Linked DNA regions of Callithrix jacchus. The protein of the gene in region 2 interacts with the protein of the main gene of each other region in a biochemical or structural test. Links are inferred from orthologs where the notes say so. Each region holds a gene or a part of one and is shown on either strand. Other genes may lie near its edges.

Evidence for each region.
Region 1: the proteins of CDC42 (region 2) and PAK2 form a complex in vitro, tested with the Homo sapiens proteins (4 studies listed by BioGRID, with this or other methods). The link is inferred for Callithrix jacchus from reciprocal best matches to the Homo sapiens genes CDC42 and PAK2.

The regions. Positions count from the first base shown.
Region 1 is NC_133516.1:25,329,249-25,332,903, forward strand, and holds part of PAK2 (serine/threonine-protein kinase PAK 2), read right to left. Parts: intron 1,959-3,655; coding exon 1,895-1,958; intron 544-1,894; coding exon 495-543; intron 20-494; coding exon 1-19. UniProt on the Homo sapiens protein: Serine/threonine protein kinase that plays a role in a variety of different signaling pathways including cytoskeleton regulation, cell motility, cell cycle progression, apoptosis or proliferation.
Region 2 is NC_133508.1:58,846,063-58,849,717, reverse strand, and holds part of CDC42 (cell division control protein 42 homolog), read right to left. Parts: intron 2,584-3,655; coding exon 2,474-2,583; intron 2,346-2,473; coding exon 2,148-2,345; intron 1-2,147. UniProt on the Homo sapiens protein: Plasma membrane-associated small GTPase which cycles between an active GTP-bound and an inactive GDP-bound state. In active state binds to a variety of effector proteins to regulate cellular responses. Involved in epithelial cell polarization processes.

The DNA.
Region 1 (3,655 bases), on a different chromosome or scaffold from region 2:
TAATCTGTTTGATAGCAACCTATAATAAAAACAGAATTGAAAAAAATCAGGCCTATGAATTCTCTTAGAAAATTACAAACACCAGCCAGTTAATAATTTAATTTATGGTACATACGTTGTATTACACAATACAATACTATTACTCAGAGCTAGTACTTTTACTTCAAAACTGCCTATGCACAATGCTTTGGAATGTATAGAGCCTAAACATTTTTAGATTTCTCTTGATTAATCCACCCACAGTCAATCCAGCACTAAGAATTAATCCTCTTTTCACTTCAAGCTGATAAAACAATTGTTAAATATTTGCTTGTTTATGACATTAAACTCACAATTCTTTGTTCTCCTTAATGACAGAAGTGCTATAAATACATAGAGCAATTCTTACAACATGTTCAACTTAAGAGATTCCTATTGATTCTTCTCAGCTTTATCTAGTTTCCACCTATATGACAAAATAATGGTAACATCCAGAGGTATGACAAAGTAGCTACCTCCTGTCCCAATGCAACATCAGTAGCAGTGAAAACTGTACCAGAAGCCCTATGGGAGAAAACACACAACCAGATTTAAGGTTTATAAATCACTAGCATTTACAATATCCAAAGACTTTACACTTCAAGCAATTAAAAAAGAATTAAAGAACAGTTGAGACCTAATGTGCTTAAAAGGAGTAAAAGCAAAAACATAAGGAAAGGGATGGGGGGAAAAGAAAGAAGCACTCCTTATGGCCAAAACTTATGTCTGAAATATTTAAGACCTATAAAAATGTAGAGAAAAAAGAGCAAGAAAAAAATATATAACATATACTTAAATACTTCCCTGTTTAAGATACCAAAACTATAAATAATTTGAAGATTCTCATGTGCCCTTTCCAATAGCAGCCTCTTTCCACCCAAAGGTGATCTGTATTTGGTGTTTATCCTGTATTTGACGTTCATCATTTCCATGCATTTCTCCATACTTTTAACTACAAAGGACCCAGGTATGTATCCCTATAAAATATACTTTGCCTAATTTTTAAATGTCATATAGTTTCATTTCACATATTATTCTGCAATTTGCTTTTGTTACTCAACACTGGATTTGTGATGGCCATCCATATGGCAGGGCATTGCTTGTTCATTAATACTCAAAAATATTAGGATAACCTTCAATTCTCCTTAAAACAAAACAAAACAAAAACCAGTGCTGAAATTGAATTTAGCTGTTAGGAAGAAATTCAAGTCTGGTGCTGTGGCTCACACCTGTAATCCTAACACATTGGGAGGCTGAGGTTGCAGTGAGCCAAGATGGTGCCACTGCATTCCGGCCTGGGTGACAGAGTGAGACTCCAATTCAAAAAAGAAAAAAAAAAAGAAAAACTCAAATCGAAGTTTTCAAAAATACCTTCGGCACTCACTCTAAATTCACAGAATGCTTTCCAGAGTTTAATAACATTAAAAATCTAAAGTGTTTATTTGCTTCCAAGCAACAGAAAAACGTTTAGTCAGTACACTTAAAAAATACAAACTACAGAACAAAATCAGACCAGTAGACTCAAAAGTCAATACTCAAGGACATGATTGAAATGCACCTTTTTAATTGCATATAATCCTGCAGTAAATATTCTTACTGTCTTTTAAATATATTTTATGGACAATTCTTCCCTCTAACCAATCCTTTACCATGAATGAGAAACGTCATTTAAGAAAAAAAAAAAGATATACAGTCACTGCTAACAACTAGCACAGTTTTTTAATAGCATCTAGAAATAACTGCATTATTTATTTACACAAATCCCCAAGGGTACTGCTCACAGAATACTATAAGTGCTCAATGTCAGCAGGAAAAAGAAATATCATGTTATAAAGCCAAGAATGAATATTATGGTAACACAGTCACAAATACTTACCCTTGTCCAATTTTTTCATATCTTGTATATTTTTTCTTAGGGTCACCTATGCTCACAATAGTTCCTAGAATAAACAAAAAGCTGGAAGCTCAGTCAAGCATTTTAAGTGTAAATTAATTTTGATATTATTATTCCTTTTGATAAACTCCACTTTTTCATATGTGGTTTTCAAACATAACACTAAGTTTCAAAAATAACATGTTTTAAACACAAAACACTAAAGAAACATAAATACATAATAAAAGTTTAAAAGTATCAGAAACAAGAAGACACATTATTTCCATTAGGTTAGACCTCCTAACTAATTTACTCAATAATGGTCACAGTTTGGAAAGACTGCACCAGTTTGCCAGAGATTAATTAGGTTCTCGGATGTTCAGCTTTAGAATCAGGTAATCTCAAGAAAATTGACAAGCTGGTCACTCTATTTTCCTATAAGACTGAAATATATTAATAGATATATTTTAACATATCTGTTAATAGGTAAGTTTGAAACTACTTAGTATTAGAAATAATAAGGGCTATCTAAACCCTAAATGGTCTTTCTGACTCTTCCAGTATATATATCATCTATCTTTCAATATATTTAGAAAACCACTTACTACCATAAAGATTACTATGCTCTAACATAAACTAATCATATGGTAGTTTTAGGAAAGTTCAAAGTCACAAGAAACAAGTTTTAAAATTAGAAAGCTGAACATAAAATCATAATTTATATTATTACTAGTAGTCAAAATGTAAGAAAAATCACACTAAACTTTCACTTGCTCAAGGTAAAAAGGATAGGACCATATCAAGGAAACTCACATAAATAATTTTATGTAGGTATCCAACCTCAAGTCAATAAGCAAAGGAACAGGATCCACAATAAGAGACTAAGAGCAAAAAGATATCAAAAAGCCTGGGGATGTGATAGCTAAAAGTGACAAATGAATGACGACAATTAGGATTCTAGTTAATCTTTTTTTTTTTTTTTTTTTTTTTTTTTTAAGTAGCAGCTCTCCTACAAGAATTCCTATATGCCCATAGAGTAACAGAGTAGGCTTGGTGTGGTGGCTCACGCTTGAGGTCAGGAGTTTGAGACCAGCCTGGCCAACATGGTGGAACCCCATCTCTACTAAAAATACAAAAACTAGCTGGGTGTGGTGGTGGGCACCTGTAGTCCCAGATACTCAGGAGGCTGAGGCAGGAAAATTGCTTTAACCCAGGAGGCAGAGGTTGCAGTGAGCTGAGATTGCGCCATTGCACTCTAGCCTCGAGACAGAGTGAAACTGTCTCAAAAAAAAAAAAAAAAAGAATAAGAGTAAAAGCCAGGTTTATACTTGAAAGCACTGATAAATCAAAAGCAAATAAACCTAGGGCATATAAATGATTGTTTATTTTTTAGAGACAGGGTCTTACTCTGTCACCCAGGCTGGAGTACGGTGGCACAATCACAGCTTACTACATCCTTGAACTCAAGCAATCCTCCTGCCTCAGGCTCCCTGTTAGCTGGGAATACATACCACCATGCCTGGTTATTATTTTTTTTTTTTTTAAGGTAGAGACAGGGTCTCATTAAGTTGTACAGTTTGGCCTTGAACTCCTGGACTCAAGCTATGCTATCTTGGGCAGCCAGTGTACTGAGATTACAGGTTTGAGCCACTATGCCCAGCCTAAATGCTTAAAACAATCCTTCCATAAAGTATTTTTCCTTGATCCCGCTAGATTAATATTCTTTTAATTATTATTTTTGATTTATTATTATTTTTTGAGACT
Region 2 (3,655 bases):
AAAGCTTTCTTCTTTCTACATCATTCACAAAGTAGAAATGCTATATAAAAGTTAAAATTCCTCTGCAATCCTTTCTACACATCTAGGAACCAACTCTGGTTCCTAGTCAAATATAAAAGGAAGGAGGGAGTACAGAAAGGAAAACATACTTTATAAGGAAAAAAAAGAGGAGGAGGACCATTAGAAACTCGAGTGTATCCATTAACAAGAAGGAATTCCTTTCTCTATAATCTTTGCTTAACCATTATCTGTTTACATTAAGACTTTAGTTTTAGAGGAATCAACAAACAGAATCTGTAATCCTAAAAGTTCTAGCTCCCAAACACAACGACCAGACCCCATTTTATAAATTCTCCTCTTTTGACTTTTCCATACTTCAAACTCTCCTACGAAAAATACACCTGCTAAGACCTTTTAAACTTCACATTCGCTATGAAGTGATTTACTATATACATCTGTTGACGCTAAAAATCTTACATTAAAAGCATCCAATTATCTAAAGCTTTACTAGTGACGTAAAAGTGGATCCACAGGGCCTATGTGTTTTCCCTCAAAGCAACCCCTATCTAGAGAACAGAAGTATGCATCAGAAGCACACAGAATTAATGTCTAACACGGACACAAGTGTTTCACACATGACATTCTGTGCCTCTGTATACACACACACACTTTTCTGGGAATGTTATTAAAACAAAGAAAACAGCACTATCCATTTTTTTAAACTCTCAAAACAGTACTGTGTGTGAGAAGATGTAAAATCTTCTAAACTTTTAAACAGCTGCTTTTATAACAGCACTAAACTGCCCCAAAAACTAGGATTAGAAGATTATATTTAAAGCATCTGGTATTAGGCCCTGACATTATCCTGAGGGATATCCCAGTTAAGCATCCAAGTTTTACTGTAAATATCCAACCAAGTACTAAATTGAAGCCTATTAAATTATACTAGGCCCTATAAACTAAATACCTAGTGTATATGTAATAAGTAATCATATATGTATGCCATTTACCCTCGTATACATGGAGTTAAGAATCCAATAATGTTTTTTAAAAAAAATAAAAATGAACAATTACCTGAAAAAGCAAGCATAATATATAATGAGTTTAATATAATTATTAGAAACCTCCACCCTTCAATCTTGTCCTATTTTAATTAGGCATGTTTGCTCACTGTTCCAACTTCAAAGCACCAGTACTGAACATAAGAATTTTGTGCTAATTATTTCCATAATTTTTTCCTTTGCCCCCAGAACAGTACTCAAAGGACAGAATCGACGATATCATGAAGGCGAAAAAGTTTAAACCATACACATCAGTTACAAGTCCCATTCTAAATACCCTAACATTGCTCCCTATCCTCAAAATCTGAGCTTCCCATCAGACTACTAAAGGAATTCCAATTAAATCACTCAAAAAAGGCCAGAATGAAAGAGAGGTCCACATGAGGAAGGAATACTTCCAAAAACATAGGAATAGAAACACTATATAAAGCATGCTTAAGAACTGTGGCAGAAATAGCCATGGCCACCTTCTTTGACATGGAAGTCTCAATCATTATGACTAATTCCCTATCCTGGTTGAATTACCCAAGAAACAGTATAATATCAATTGTCAGAATCGGCAAGACAAGATGAGACGTATTTAGATGAAAATTTAAGTGCCTAGAAAAAAAAATCATTCACCTCTTCTCTTGCAAATTTGTGCTTATCTGAACCTTTCCTGTAAGGTTTTCTTTTTTTTTTTTTTTTTTTTTTTTTTAATTTTTTATTGGATTTTAGGTTTTGGGGTACATGAGCAGAGCATGTAAGACAGTTGCGTAGGAACACACATGGCAGTGTGCTTTTCTTTCCTTCTCCCCTTCACCCACATTTAGCATTTCTCCCCAGGCTATCCCTTCCTGTAAGGTTTTCGATCAATCATTCAGTACAACATGAGAGCTTACCAACACAAGCAGTTTAGAAACTATATAATTATTCTCCAAAAAACACTGAGGCCTCTAACAAAAAGAGTATACAATATGAAGCTGCTCATATTCTTGCTGGGCATCTTTGGGCACTGCTGATCACTGTTAGAAATAATTCCTGTATCCGAATGCTCTAATAAATGACTAGACCGTAAACACTCATGGGATTTCATGCCATCCTTACCTGTGTGAGTGCAGAACACTCCACATACTTGACAGCCTTCAGGTCACGGGCCAGCTTTTCAGCAGTCTCTGGAGTGATAGGTTTCTGTTTGTTCTTGGCAAGTTTCTCAATAGTAGAGGGGTCATCTCTGAGATCAATTTGGGTCCCAACAAGCAAGAAAGGAGTCTTTGGACAGTGGTGAGTTATCTCAGGCACCCACTAAAAAAAGGTATTTTAAAATACACCTTTGTTAATCCAAAAACCTCTAATGCAGGTCAAACCTCTATTACAGGTCAGTAGAAATTATGGGATGACCTTCTTAGGCCAAGAATATCTGATCAGCTTACCTTTTCTTTCACATTTTCAAATGAAGATGGAGAAACCACTGAAAAACAGACTAGAAATACATCTGTTTGTGGATAACTCAGCGGTCGTAATCTGTCATAATCCTCTTGCCCTAGAAAAAAGAAAAATATTGGACTGAATTCAGCAACTGAATCTTGATGTCCTCAAAGCGTTAAAAGCACACTGGTCATTACTCAAAAACCAACTTACTTATCTAATAAATTACATAGCTCTGTATAAATTACATAGCTCTGTAACACAGTATGTGGGAAATATACTCAATAAGCTAATTCTACATACTTTAAGCACTCAAACAGCAACAAATTTACTATTATGTTATTTGCTTTTATTACTAGTTTGTGGTGTTCAATCTTCGTGTCCATTAGAAACCCAATAATAAATGTAATAATAAACTCTTGCTACAGAAATGGTTAAAAATCAATCCTTGTAATCCCAGCACTTTGGGAGGCCAAGGAAAGTAGATCACCTGAGGTCAGGAGTTTGAGACCCACCTGGCCAACATGGTGAAACCTACTAAAAATACAAAAATTAGCCAGGCATGGTGGCACACGTCTATAATCCTAGCCACTTGGGAGGCTGAGGCAGGAAAATTCCATGAACCCAGAAGGCAGAGGCTGCAGTGAGCCAAGATCGTGTCACTGTATTCCAGCTGAGACAGAGCAAAACTCCATCTCAAAAAAAAAATCCTTGCCAGATATGGCAAAGAAACAATCACAGTGAAATCATCTAAGGAAAGAAAAACCTCAGTGAAACCCAGATGACAAAATCCACTGCCCATCATGACTACAAACACAGGTTCGCATAATGTGTGCATGTAAGACCAGTATCTGAAACTGATAAAGCCTTGGAAAAACTTTTGGAAGGAATTAATGTATACTCAAAATAATAAAAATACTTAGAATTAACTTAATCAGAGGCAAAAGACTTGGACAACAAAAATTTCAAGGCTGCTGAAATAAATTAAAGAAGACATAAATAAATGGAAACACATCCCACATTCATGAATTGGAAGACTTAATACTGTTGACATGTCAATATTATCCAAAGCAACCTAGAGATTCAATGCATCAGAATCCCAAGGGATTCTAAATAACCAAAATAATCACGAGAAAGAAGAATAAAGCTGAAGGACTCCCACACTTCCCTCATTTAAAAACTTACTA